3 linked regions of the Drosophila melanogaster genome follow. The protein of the gene in region 3 interacts with the protein of the main gene of each other region in a pairwise test. Each region holds a gene or a part of one and is shown on either strand. Other genes may lie near its edges.

Region 1 (4,617 bases), on a different chromosome or scaffold from region 3:
TTACATAAGACATTTGAGTCGGGCCCTTGTTATACGGACGTATGCCAGTAGAACAGTGGCCGCGCCGAACCGATCTAGCATTTAACTATCTATATACAACAAATATGTGCGATATTTTTTATATGCAGCTAATTTAATGTGTTGTATTTTGACCCCACACCACCTTGTAACTACGTTTATACGCCTGCTTTTCGAAAATTGAGTAACGCTTATAGAATTTTCGATTCAATTCTTTATGCCTTTTAACAGTTGAACATATATAATCAGTATAGCAACATTTTCTACCCACTTGTAAATAAGTTTATAACTAATGCAGTTTTTGTTGCCTACTTATTCGGGAGTCGAAAGGTCTGTAATTACAAATAAAGCTTGTGTATAAACGTAGTTCGTAGATTCTCTTTTGATTTTAATCTTAAAACATTTTTTGTTAATAAAAGAGGAAATTAAAAAAAAACTTTTAAACTTTCTAGTGTCTTTATTGTGGAATTTTAATTTTGTGGCAATTTAAAGAATATTTTTATATCTTTAATTGAGCCAAACATTTCATAAATAAAATCTCAAATGAAATGTTAAGAAGCGAGTACAGTTGCGCGTGCACGGACATAAACTTATGGCCGGGACTGTATGGAAAGGTGGGGGTGTAAGGAAAGGACCCCGTTTACGAGGTCGTTGCTTGTTCGTGTGTTTCTGTATCTGGTGGCTCCTTTTTCCGCATTTCCTTTTAACAGGATGTACGCACAGATACGGAATTTGTCCCAGACCATGGTCGGGAAATCGATTCAGGCCAAACGCCAGGAATACGAACACCCAAGCATTTTCGCCTATACATATGTACATATATGCAACGATATGCATACACATACATGCTTGCAGTTTGTGGTCCTGCGCAGTGCTTTACGGATGTCCTTGTTTTTTTTTTTTTTTTTGCTAGGAATGAGGGCTTTTAATTTCATTAACAGTTACAGAGCTCTGTTAAGTCAGCTGTTCGCCGAGCGAAAGAGACGGAGCATACCAGATTCAAGGTCTACATAACTGTATCCTATGTACATACGTTCGGTATCTATACGAAAAACGGATGTGTATCCACGAACTTTACATGGTATACTTACAGGCGGACTTTGGGGGAAGGACTTCGTCACTAGATTCCGTTTCGTGAATATGACGTGCAGGCACGTACGCTGGCAGGGTCGTAGCCCCAAAGGGGGTTAAAAATAAAAATAAATATTATTTTTAATTACTTAAACAGCCAAAAGGGTTTATTTTTAATATTTGGGCGTAATATTAGGAGCAATATATTAAAAGCTATATATATTAATACGAAATAGTAGAATTACTATGCTCAAAATGATGCTAAATTTTAAAGAAAATTTAAAATTTCCTTAGCTTTATCATGGTTGAAGTCTTCGCTACAGTCTCAGCCACTTTGGCAACCCTGGTTGAAGTCCACTGAAAGGTTCGTGTCTCTGATATAAGCCAGTATTTCAGGTATTTTCTTGGTATTTCCCATTGCGGCAGCGAAGATTTTTTAGTACATTTCGCTTGGCCCCTGGGGTATATTCTCACATACCAGCCAAGGCCACACTCTATCAGCAAGCTGTGTGGCGTCCGGTCGCTTTTTCAGTCATTCGTTGCGTCGCTGCGATCTCATCGTTCGTTTTGTTCCTACACGTTTTTGGCGTCGTCGTACATTTACGTGTCCCGCTTACTCGCGCGCACCCTCTCTCTTTCACTCTGCGGCGCGCGTGCCTAAGTGTGGTGTGTGGTGTGTGTGCCTGTGTGCGTGCGTGTTGGCGAGCAGCGCGGCGCAGCACAATAGAAAAGAAGAAGAAGAAGAAGCTGAAGCTGAAGGAAAAAACATAAGTGAATTTTTTTCGGGTGGAAGCGCGGTGAAATATGCGTGCGTGCGCGCGTGTATATGTGCGTGTGTGCGAAAATCAATACGAAAACATGAATAACAAATGCTAAATAAGAAAAATAGCTACAACGCACAACCGAAAAGAAGCTGAAACAAGAAAAAAGAAAGCGAAAAAAAAGGAGAAAATAATAAATAATAGGAATTGGGAATCCAGCAGGAAGGAACAGTTAGCCATTCCAGTGAGCTAAAACAGCACAAACCCATTTCCAGATCCAGCCCATCCAGGGCTTCCAATTGACAGTTGCCAATTGACAGTTGACAGTTGCTAGTTGCCAGTTGACAGTTTCCAGAAACGCAGCAGGATGTCGCTGCAAACGAAAAGGCAGCACTGCTATCTGTGCGATTTACCCCGCATGCCCTGGGCGATGATCAATGACTTCTCGGAGGCGGTGTGCCGCGGTTGCGTCAACTATGAGGGCGCCGATCGCATCGAGGCGGTGCTGGACGCCGCCCGCCAAATGAAGCGTCTCCATCCCGCCAGCAAACAGCAGCGTTCCCATGAGAACGGCGAAGTGTCCGCCGCTGCAGCGGCCGCCGTCGTCCTACAGCAGCAACAACAGTTACAAGTCGGTCCAGTTCCGGGACAAGGACCGGGTTCCCATCGCGGCGGAGGTGGCGGCGGTCCACCGGGTGCTCCGCCCGGAAGTGGTGGTCCAGGTCCGTCGGGCGCCGGTTCGCTCAGTTCGCTGGGCAATGCCGTTGCTGCTGCCGCCGCCGCTGCTGCAGTGCATCATCACCATCAGATGCCCTATCAAATGCCAGTGCCACGCATCGGTCCGCCACTGGACTATCCCGTTAAGCTGGAGGATGCCCCCGGTGGCGGCGTACGACCCGTACGCATTTCACACATGACGCCCCACCACCTGCCGCCAAATGCGACCCGCGGCGGTGGCGGTGCACCCGGCGGCGGCGTACCCACCGCCGGCAGTGGCGGTGGCAGCCTACCGCCCGCCCTATCCGTGAATTTAAAGCGTCCGCCCAGCGAGGATGTCGATGTGGATGTAAGCCAGCAGCAACAGCAGTCGGGACACGGCCTGGCGCCAGATGGCAGTGCTGGCAACTCCCTATCCGCCGGCGGAGGCGTATCCGGCGGTTGTCCGCCCGGCATCAAGCGCAGCGCCATGGACGATCCAAGTGGCGTGGGCGGCAGACCGCCATTGACGCGTGGCGAATCCCTGCCAGCGGCGGTCAGCTATGTGCCCGAGCGTCAGCTTAGCGGACTCCGTGATAAGCAGCAGCCGGTCAGAGCGCCCAGTTTCGATGCATCGACCTTCAAAGCAGGTGAGCAAACATGACATAGATCATTCAAAATACTTGGCACAGTGGTTACCCAATAGAAAGAACTTTGCTGCAGCAAGTAATGGGAAAATTTTTCATTTGCAGTAGGGATTCGGGAAAAGCAGGAGTAGTTTCAACTACCTTGAAAACTACCTTTCATAATAATTAGAGTAAAGTGATCAGAGTCTCAAAAGTGCCGCGTTGATAAATATTTGGCTTTATAAATGATAGTACAAAACACTATCTATCGTGGTGGAAAACAGATTTGGGATAATCCCCTATCAGTGATGGATTTCTTATCACTTATAGCGATCGGATCGAATCGCCAGTGGGAAATACGCGATATGGATTAAAAAATGGAGTGACCAGGGGGATGTTGTTTCCCAGCCACAGTGAACACTTGATATCTTCTAAAGTATATTTTATCAAAATATTTCAAATACAAAACTCTTCGAGGGGTGATATTTCAGTTTGCTTTGATAGCCAATGTCAAACAAAAATAAAAACTTGTTTAAACAAACAAGTGAGTTAGAGGAAATTTTTTTTTGCTAATTTCAATCTAAGATTTGCTGGATAAAATTAAACACTATTTTATCCTCCGGAAACATAGGAAATTTGCTTAAATCCTAAGTTTGAAAAAGTTGGCGGCCACTGTATTTGTTTACCGTTTCTTACCAATCCCCCGCCTTTTTTTTTTTAATATGAGCCGTGATCGCGGGATACAGAGCACTGTTTCTGCCTCGCTCTAGCCTGGATGTGGGTGGAAGGTCGTGGTGGGGGAGTGGGAGGAAGAGAGGCGGCGATATAGTGGCACACATACCGCTTATTCAGGGCAGAGTGAAACGGCGTGATTGCCTGCTCCTTATCTCTCCTTACTGGAAGGCGAGCTAGAAGAAGACTGCGCTTCTCATGTATATGCACGTACACATTTACGTTTGCATGGATGATAAGGAGCGTTGTGTTGGAGATTAGATAACTCATTTGCTTATCAGCGCGTCCTTATCGCCACCCAATGCGTATGTATAACTCACACATACACGCATACGTGCACATGCATGCATGTACATTCAAACAGAAAAAGAAGCGTATAAACGCATTTTGCAACCCTCTGTGGAAAAAAGGGGCTGCTAACCCTTGCCATTAAAAGGCATGCGCACATGCCAATATACATATAGGGAATATACATGTGCATGTACCGCGCAGACACACACGCGCACACAACTACGTGTTCGTTTACATGCACGTACGTAACAGTCGCAATGGCAATAACAAAAAACGGCGAGAAAAAAAAGCGCAAAAAGCACACGAAAAAAGGGCCGCAGAATGTAATATAAACAGAGACGTGCAAAAATCGTCGACGCTGACGTTGTAATGTTCTCGCTCTCTATCTCTTTCTCCCTCCGTCTTCTGTCGCTTTTCTCTTC
Region 2 (4,982 bases), on a different chromosome or scaffold from region 3:
CTATGAAGCAGAATCCAATTGTTGTGGTCTTACAAAGAAAATTAAATAATTATTATTTTACATATTTTACCTTAATGAGTTTAGTTAACCCGAAAATTCTCAAGCTGAATGAATGAATTTAGTGGACTACCGGTTAGCTATTTCTTCTGACTAAAATAAGTTTAGAGTCAATCGCACATTCATTTTTAACATGTACTAAACGTATTATACCATCTCGTACAAAATTTAATTGGATTGTAATGCTTTTTTAACGCATTTAACCTTAACCAATATAACCAATAAAATGCAATGTACTTGAGACTGTTTAAGTCAGTTATAATCGGCTACTATCATTATGAAATTGTTTTTCTTAGTTATTCTGGGTAAGCTAAAGATTTTCTAAATATTTTGATCATTCTTATTGTTAATCAAACAGCCTGTATGCTAATCGGAATTGCATGGGGAGAAAACTGCAATAAGCCGTGCGGAAAATGCATCTTGCCCACCTGCAATTATGATGGCAAATGTTACTTTGAGGGAACTAGCGCTTGTGCTCTGGAAAATGAAAAGTGCCGACGAAAGAAGAATAATCTTGACCGTGAGCTTTATGTTTGAAATGTTTTTTACCCGATTTTAACTTCTTTTAAATGTATTTAGAATTCGTAAAAACCGTGTCTGGGTTCTGTGAGATGGGCGTTAAAATGTGTAAATAGCCAAATAAAATGTTTTCAATTGAATTATATAAATTAAATATATTTCTTTTAAGAAATAAATAGTTCAAAAATAGTTCAATTGCTGTTTGTCCACTATTTTGATGTTTATTTCATTTGGGAGTTTTAAAAAGGGTATATGATATGATTTTTAACCATAACTTAGTTTCGCCTTAATGAAATAATCTACTGCTAGTGCTACAAGTCCAATTGCTCCGTAGTTTGACCGATGAAAACCTCAAGAAGACAAATATGAGGAACATTTTACTTTGCCACTCAAGCCCCAGAAAAGCAAACCCAAACGAAACGAAACGAAGCGAACCAAACCGAGCCACCCAACTATGAAAAATTTAAACTTTGCATCCAAGCCATTTATTCATCCTGCTTGGCATCTGCCATCATATCTTAGCATGCGGTTCTGGCTTCGTCCGGAGTTCTCTGCCCCCATTTTGCATCTTAAAGCCTCCATCTTTATATCTTTAACCATCTCTATGCTCTTCGGTTCTTGGGCAGTTTGGGGTGCACCTTAAAAATTAATTGAAACATCACTACCGGCTAATATTGTAGATTAAAAACAGCAAAAGGAGCTGTGCTGGGTAAGAGGACCGAAATGGGCCGCACCTAGATGAGGCATATAAAACTTTTGGGGTTAACTGAGTGCTCTAAAAACGGTCAGAAACTTGCAAATTGCCAGTATGCTTGGCCATTTATCAGTCTTAGTTGTGGGTTAGTTGGAAAGAATGTTCCACAATAAATTCGAACAACAAATTTGGCTTCTTCTGGAGTTTATTAGCTGGCCGCCGGAATTTTGCGGTCAAAGGGCGACCTGAACTTGAATCTGGCCGGTCGGTCGCCCATCTCCCGCACCTCACCCCCACCATCCACCTATTGTACATCCATCTTCGTCTTTGCCCCCATCAAGTCACTGTCCAGTTTAGAATTTCTTTGAATACTCCGCCTGATGACAGAGCATTGCCAGATAGCATACTAATTCCGGCTCAGTCACTGCGCATGCCCAGATGCTCCGGTAATCGTGGGTCTTCGGGCTTTGGGGCTCTCGCACCAGCGGCATGGGTCGTGTCAACTGACTTCGGGGGCTTCGGTTTTTGGGTCTGTTGCGCCTAGGACAACAATTTCCGTGTTGCATGCCTCGCCTTCGGGTGATCTAAAAACGAAGCGAGTGTCGAGGTCGCCAACGTGCCATAAAATGCGCATAATGTGGCACGGATGTGCCAGTCCACGTTGGTAATTTGGCGCGTGAGCATCGCCGATTATCATTTTTGCCACAAGTGGCAGCCCGTATAGTGATGTTGCTGGTGCAACGGCAACATTTCGTACCTCTAGCCGGCTAGATAAAATCGCGAAATGGTGACCACAAATAGATAGGCTTTGATAGCCGCGAAGCATTAACCAGAGATCGTATCGGTCGAGGGAGATCCGGCAGTGCTTATGATACCAAAAGTAATCAAGCGGTGATTGCAAAGTGAAGTGATCAGTAATCAAAACTCAAGTGGCACGAAAGCAGAAAGAGCAAACGAAGGAGAGAAAAGTAGCCTAGGCACATGCAACAACTGGATACGGATACGCTTTTCAAGCCCTGAACAGCCGCCGACCTACGAACCCACCCACAAGTCAAGTACGTAACAGATTGATGAGCAAGTCGCCGTCGCTGTCTCAAAGAACCACCCACTCACTTGGCCCCCCCACATCATCATCCTCATCCACCTCCTCCTCCTCCAACTCCCAGCCACTCACTCGACCAGGCACTTGACTAAAAGTTCAATTTCCTGCAAGATGCTTTAATTGAAGCGCACAGTAAACAAGAAACAGAAGCGGAGAAACAGAAAACAGAGTGGGCAAGGGTCACTCGTCGCCTTGGGTGCCTTCGCTCTGGTCAGTCATTAGTCATTTGCTCATTTCCGCAAACGCAGCCCGGATGTGCAGCACTTGTCAGTCAATAAACAACCTCGACGGGGGGTGGATGATGGGTGGTGGACGGATGATGGGTGGCGATCCACCCACTCTCCCAATTAAATGTGGCAAACGTATCAGCGTCAATCACCGATTCTGATGGCCAGGCCAGTGCATCCTGCCGCTTCACTGGCGTTTCCACAGATCGGCTGAGGCATCGGGAAAATGTCTCGGGCTATTTACATTGCCGTCCAAGGGATTGGATGCAATTTCGATTGGTTCATGGATCAGGTTGGACTTGCTTAAGGTTTTAATTTAACAAGCAAATGTTGGGTACCATACACTTGCAATGATAGTTTGTTTTATTGAGAGCTATTGATAAACTAACAGCTGTTTGACAAACAACTAAAATAACAGCTGAGAGTTAGTCGAAATGTCTGTAGATTTGGCAAATAAAATATATAAACACATGTGTGGTTTTTAACAATTTTAGATCAATTTTAGTTTGGTTGCAAATTTGGTTCCCAAAAATTATCGCCATTTATATGTAGCAAACAATAGGAAACTACGTATATACAAATGAAATATAAATGTTCATACAAAGATTTTTTTCGAAGGAAGGATTAAAAGACAAAGTATAAGTGTTTTAAACTTTTCTCAACCACTACATTTTTTGGATCTGTGTCTTTGGTCTTTAAGATGATGGAAAGAAAAAGTGGAACGCGCAGAAAAATCTGGAGGTGTAGTGTTGCAGTGGCAGTGGCAGAGTGGGTGAGTGGGCGTCGGTGGGTGGCAGGGGGAGTGGCGACTGCATATGTGTCACACATTGAGTTTCTTGGACAACAATAACCAAGACGGACAGGAGCAGGGTGCATCGCAAAAACGGTGCATAGGTGCTAAAAAAAAAGAAACAACGAGGAGCAACAATGGAACGGAGGTGGGGAAATATGGGGAATGTTGGGGGGAGTACGCAAGCTAACCCAGTTTTTTTTCGACGCTGGTTCTTCACAGCTCAGTTTTGTTTTGGGCCTCCTCTTTTTTTTTATTTTGTCTACTGCTGCTTGGTACATTTCTTTTTATGGCTTTTACGAACTGGCCGCAAAACGACGACGACGAATAACCAACTTCACTGACAGCAGAAGAAACGAAAATATTTCGACCAAAAACTGCCAGACTTGTCCAAAGCCACCCACCACCCACCACCCACCAACCCATCCCACTGGATGAAACCTGTTTTGTAATTGTTGTGTTTTTATTCCGAGTATGCGTGTTGATGCGGATTTCTTTGGCTTTCCCAGCGCCTTCTGGGCTCTAGCTTCTTGCCTGGGCCATTGTCACGTAAATCTGTGACAGAAATTAGCCTCGTTGACAAAAATATGCCTGCTTACACATTATTTGTACAAACAAATAGACGGGCAACAGTTAATGGGCGTGGAGAGTGTCGTCCTCGTGGTGCCTCTGGGTTCCATGGGCACCGTTCCATGGGGTTCTTGGGTTCTTCTGACGGGGGTGTTGCAGATACATGGGTCTGGAGAAATTTGCATGGGAACTGCGCCAGTTGACGCTGTTATTTCTTGGCCTCTTTTGGGCGAATTCCTCAGCTAGTTTTGTGGCTGTCGTCCTGTCGGCTTTTCTTCTTCGCCTTGTTTTATTGATCTGTTTATGCTTTAGGACCTCTGGCCCTACACTTCCCCCCCATCACAGCAATCTCTGTCAAACCCTCATCATGGATAAACAAACAAAAAAAGTTTTATTTGTGGACTACTGAAAATGCAAAATAAAAAAAAAGAAAACAAAAAGCAAGGGATGCGGGGACCGCAAATGTGCTTTTTCGGGGCAAAGTTGTGCCTAGGCTAATGACCAGACAGGCGTGAAGGCAATCATAAACTGCGTACATTTCATCCTCCCACACTTCGCACTCGAAGTTAATTTTCCTTGACCAGAGTCTAGCCAGGTTGGAAAGTTTACTCTAGCTCTTAATCAACTCATTATAATGAACAGAGAAATAAAATATCCATAACATGCCGTCGATTAAATTATTTGGTTGCCTTACGGCACTTTTGCTGATTGACTTTATGGAGTTTTGGTCTGATTTTTTCCAATAAAATGTAATGAGATTAATAAATCAAATTGTTGCACATAAACGATTAATGCTATAAAAATGTATGCATGTATTTAATTATACCGCTTACTTTTAGAGTTAAGGGTATACAACATTCGTTGAAAAGTTTGTATCAGTTAGAAGGATGAGTTTTCGACCCTATATTTTTTGAACATTGATATTAAGAATGCAGATTCTAGAAACGGCGAGATTGTGCATCTTACCCACTCTAACGCTGAGTACAGGGTATCAGATAGCCGAGGAAATCGACTCTCTTTTTT
Region 3 (5,197 bases):
GATCTCAACATGATTATCGAGGGCGCTAGCAAGTGCACAGATATAAATATTCGCGTTAACTGGAACCGCATGCTGGGTACGCTGGGTTCTCTGCTCTCAGAGCCCCTGGTTAAGGCAATAGTGCTCTTCCTATTGACTTACTGTGCCCAGGAAGATGACCTGTGGGCCCTGTCTGAAGGACTAGATGCACTAATGGACATTTTCGCAGTGGACGACTGGCCGCAGATCATCGCGGAGTTGGAGATGTGCGATCGTGTCCAGGCACTAGAGGAGTTGTTCAAGTCTAAACTGCGGCAGCAGCGACGGGAGCTAAAGGAGCGACGAGCCACAGTGCAAACAGTGAAGACTAATTTTTCACGCTTTGTTTTTTATCTTAATAAGAACTGTAAAAAATAAATTAACATGACCACTAATTAAAGCTATTGTCTAGTTTCAGAGAACAATACTTTTAGTTCTTAAGCATGCCAAAATATTTGTCGACGATAATAGAAACAGAAAAAATCTGTTAAATTTGTAACTTCCTAATTGTCATGTCTTTTGTATTTATTAATATTCGACTAACAAGTTTTCCACTTAAAAAAGCGTTAATAGATCGATTGATTCCATAGCTAAAATGTAAAGCATATTTAGTTTTCAAGTGCAGCAAGTGTTTGTCCATTCTAGTCCAAATCCTTTCATCTGTTAAATCAAGTCCTTCAAAGTTTGATCCCTGCTAAATTTTATTATTCTGGTACATTTTTACAACTTCGACTTAGTCTCAGGCGGGTTCTTCTCGAGAACATTCTTCATTTCGAAAAAGGATTGCTCGAGGGTCTTAACGAACTTCAAGTGATCCGTTATTGGGCAATGGCGCCAAGCGGATATGGCCAATATGATGTCATTATCCCGAGGATTATAGCAGCATGCATAACCATCGTCAGTCGCCGGGCCGTATCCCATGAAAGCATCGTATTTAGTGGCTACCTGTGAGGTGGACATGCGGAAGTGACTGGACTTAACAAAGCCCGGCGACTTGAAGAACTCGGGAATTGGCTTGCTGTGCTCCAGAGCCATCAGCTTCAGTCCAAGCAGGTGACGATCCACACCCTTTCCCTGAAGAGCCAGCTTAGCATACGTCTGATGAGACACTACTGCCTCACGAAGCTTGGCGGCGCGTTCCTGATCGGTAACGTTTGGGTCCTGCATAGCGCGGGAAAAGGCCAGGGATTCGTTGGAGCAAGAGCGTATAGTTTCGGTTCGTCCGCCGTCGAATATGCGCAAGTGCGCCGACTCATATTGCGCAGGTGGTTCCGAGTGCATTCTGCAAAACGTAAATGTATTCGGCTATATTGAAAATCTGTAGGAAGATCATCTAGTTACTTGTAGAAGGCGAGCTGCAGCGCCATCTGAACAAAGCTGTCCGGACCCAGACGCTGTTTCTTTATGAAATCCTTTCCAAAGCCGTTGAATTTCAGAACCTTCATTTGGAGAGCATCGGCAAGTTTATCCACGTTTTCCTGGGCGACGTTCAAAGATTTCTCTAGACTTTTATTGCTCGAAGAGAACTGTATTTTCTGTGCAGGAGCAAAGTCCTGTGAGCCAGATTGCCCGAAGCTAGGGTCTTCCTTCCTAAAATAATATAAATTATAAATATAAAGTTGTTTTTAACCACATGCGCCCTATTCAACTTACATCTTTTGCACCACGTAGTCCATCATCATCGCAATGGGCTGGCCCTCAGCCGGCGAGTGCTCATAAGTGAATCCGACGTTTCCATTGGGGTTTACCACCAGCTGAATAGTCTTGTCCATCCAACGGTTGCCGCTGTTTATCTTGCTGCCACTGCCATGGATCAGCGATAGGATAAGTTCGTCGGTCTCTTCGCCTTCCTTTAGGATAGTACCCTCATCGAGTGAGACGGTGAACAGAGCACCCTGAATGGTCTTGAGGGCATCCCGGTTGCCAGGAGTCTCAACCAGATATTCGTAGGCCTCCGCCCAATTGTCCCTGGAGTCGGTGGTCAGAATACCATAAGGAACTCCCACTTGCGTTTCCTTCAAGACGATATTCTCGAGTTGAGCAGCTAGACATGGTGCAGCAATGAGCTTTCCCTCCTTACTGTATATCTTCAGTTGGTAGAAGTGATTCTTGTAGATCACCACCACATAATCGGAGTCGGGATTGTACACGATCTCGTCGGTGCCCCTTCTGGGAATCCGACATGTGCCGAATACCTTGCCAAACTGGCTGTTGTCCAGCTCGTTCTTGCCCATTTTAACGATCGGAATTTTGTTGGCGTGCACCATGTCGTTGAATTCTCCCAGTCCATAGATAACCCTGGCGGTATAGTCCACGAAAGCACGTGAGTCCCTGAAGTTTTGCTTGGGAAAGGTCATGCCAGGACTCACGAACACGGTGACTGGATCTCGATAGGTCAAATAGGCAGCCTTCAGCCAGCGGTGGGCCAGCCAATTCTTCTCCTTGCTGCCGGTTTCTTCCAGGAGCAGCTGCAGTTCGCGTCCCTGCTTTTTTAAAAACTCGGAGGTGATTCCCTTTTGCCGTTGAAACTCCTCAGGCGTCAGGAGAGGTTCCACAGTGGTCATGAAGCGGTTCAGCGTTTCCTCCAGCGGCAGGACGTGGTACTTCAGCAGATTCGGCTGCTCCAAGGGAATGGTCTTCTGGACGGTGCTGTAGCTGCTAGCGGGCAGCACTTTCTTGGCGATCCCATTTGGAGACTGCTGGGCCAAGGAGTTCTTGGTCTGGAAATCGAATGGGATACAGATTACCGAACGGAGAATCACAAGCATTCCATATGGAGCACTACCAAATTCCACAAAAGCTTTCCATTGCCACGGAACTTCATCTCGGCTTCGGTTTTCTCGAGGATTCGCTCAGACGTTGGGCTGCAAAACGGAGAAATGGTATTCGAGTGTTACTTTAAAGTCCAACCACCGGTTGGTGTGCCTGTGGCACTGAATTAACCTTTGATATTTGTACATAATCTACTTCTAGCTATAAGGAGCGATAAACTAATGGCTCACGATTAGCAGCCAGCGGAGGAGGCAAGTGCAAGCAAAACGGCAGTTGCCAATCAACTGGCCATCGAAAGAGCAGTCCACGTAGGCAGAAGGGTGGGAGTGGAGTGGAGCCCAACTTAAATGCTATCAGCGACCGGTTTATTTACTTTCGCTCTCCCAAGAGTGCGTCTCTTAATATCCATACCATACCAGCGAAATACACGATGATTACCATCTAGATATATAACCACTTTTTATATAATCCTTAACTGGTTCGACTGTCCTTGCCCATCAGTTCAAATAAAGAATTTAAGTTTACCTCACTCTTGTTTTGCTCCGGTTAATTAACATCTATAGATTCTATATAAACATATATGTTTATATATGTTTGTATGTTCAAATCAAAACAAGAAACAGCTGTTGTCAAACAGCAACAAGTAAATAAGCACTCCCTGTTGTTGGTTTAACTGTGCTATCAATAATGGATAACAATCGATTAAAATCACAAGCAATTCCAAAACTTCTTTAAAGCTAATATTTAGAAAACAAGCAATACTATTAGTATGCAATATATGTTCATGATAAGCTAGCGTACGTTTTGTGAATAATATCGATGAATTCCCAGCTCTAGTATTCATAAAAAACTAGGGGGGTTCTTTGCAGAAAAATTACTTTAGTAAATTTTCGGCACGAATGATAATCTCAAAACGTTAATATTATTAAGTAGAATAACGTGAACTTTTAAGATTTCAATTTTTTTTTTTTGGAAATCCAAAATTAAGCTTTAAAAAACTTTGCCCAATAATTTGTTCCGGCTTTTTATGAGACGAACCAAACTATCAATATAATGTTTAATCTGCTAAAAATTCTACCATTGGTTTTGCTGTATCATTTGATCTTTGCAAATTGTGATTTCACAGTCCGAACCGTTTGATCTACGTTTTGAAAAACTAACGTTAATACGCCACGGTCTCTGGATGAAAAATGTTGGCCCTTGTCGTTTTTCTGATTGCCAGTTGTTTGACCATTCAAACGGCAGCCACTACGACACCAAGTCCAGCGGTCACCGAAGCTGGTCACCCATCTCCTGGAGGTTCGCAAGGTCAAGAGGAGCCAGGAAACAGCTCCTCAACGGAACTACCGGACTACTGCGATCCCTCCTTGTGCCACAAAGAACTCAAACATGTGGCTTGCAACGCATCAATCGTAAGTTACTAAACTAAAATGTGTGCCACGTGATAACAACCAACTAATTCAAATTAACAAAACAACATTTTTTGTTCGCATACACTATATAAGGTATAAATGGTTGAAAGAAAGCCAAATATAAATTAATTTAGGACTTTTTCAAATTTTCAATGTCATAAAATTTGTTGATAAAATTGATTAGTGACGAATATTAATTTCGAATTGATTGGCTTTTGAGAGGTATACCTTCGTTACAAAATGTCATACTAAAAGTTCTGGGTTATTTTTGTTTCCAAAATGCGTTACTATCCTAACTTGTTACCAATAATATCTTCAGGAACTGCACGACAAGTGCTCTCTGGACGCTGAGCTCATAGTGATAAGCCCAAAGGTGGAAAGATTCCTATTAAGGCGATTTAATGAGTTGAGGGATAGCGTGGCCAAAGGAGGGTTCAACGGACTGAGTCCTGCCAGTCGGATGGGCACCTTGAAGTGGAACCCGGAACTGGCCTACCTAGCTGAATTCAATGTGAGGGATTGTGTCCTGAGGCACGACGAGTGCCGGAACACGAAGTTCACGCAAAACGCTGGCCAGACGGTTGGGTATCGAGGCATTAAAGGAAAATTGCCAGAGTTGGAGGATATCCTTAGGGATATCATAGGGGTGTGGTTGCGGGAAAAATCCAGAACTTCGATGGTGAACATCATGAAGTATGTCGAGCAGGAATCTCAGTGAGTACCACTTAAGGAATATATAGGGTTGTTTACTCGGGCGTCCTTACGGGATTTGGTAAATATTTCAACCTGAAATGATTATTATTTATTTTTTAATATTTTGTAATCCTTTCTAAATCTTATCTAAATTTATAAAAAGACCGAAAAATTGTACCTGTTGTTATTAGGAGACAAAGTATCTGAATGTTATAATTCTGTCACTTTTCTTCTTAAATTAAAAATTAAATTTTTCAAAATTACTATAAACACCAATTGATTATATTTTGACAACATAAATG

What was found.
Region 1: the proteins of CRAT (region 3) and Pits interact in a two-hybrid assay, tested with the Drosophila melanogaster proteins (one large-scale study listed by BioGRID).
Region 2: the proteins of CRAT (region 3) and CG4168 interact in a two-hybrid assay, tested with the Drosophila melanogaster proteins (one large-scale study listed by BioGRID).

What each region holds. Positions count from the first base shown.
Region 1 is NC_004354.4:12,580,151-12,584,767, reverse strand, and holds the start of Pits (protein interacting with Ttk69 and Sin3A), read left to right. Parts: upstream 1-1,574; 5' UTR 1,575-2,217; coding exon 2,218-3,196; intron 3,197-4,617.
Region 2 is NT_033779.5:15,197,417-15,202,398, reverse strand, and holds the start of CG4168 (uncharacterized protein), read left to right. Parts: upstream 1-1,939; 5' UTR 1,940-2,325; intron 2,326-4,982. Other genes in the region: Sfp35C (seminal fluid protein 35C), read left to right, coding at 335-362, 416-577, 637-692.
Region 3 is NT_033777.3:6,370,499-6,375,695, forward strand, and holds CRAT (carnitine O-Acetyl-Transferase), read right to left. Parts: upstream 3,528-5,197; 5' UTR 3,348-3,527; coding exon 3,316-3,347; intron 3,077-3,315; exon of another isoform or gene 2,979-3,076; coding exon of another isoform or gene 2,962-2,978; intron 2,883-2,961; coding exon 2,804-2,882; intron 2,739-2,803; coding exon 1,672-2,738; intron 1,609-1,671; coding exon 1,360-1,608; intron 1,301-1,359; coding exon 739-1,300; 3' UTR 528-738; downstream 1-527. Other genes in the region: CG10286 (uncharacterized protein), read left to right, coding at 1-396; CG42564 (uncharacterized protein), read left to right, coding at 3,981-4,202, 4,522-4,916.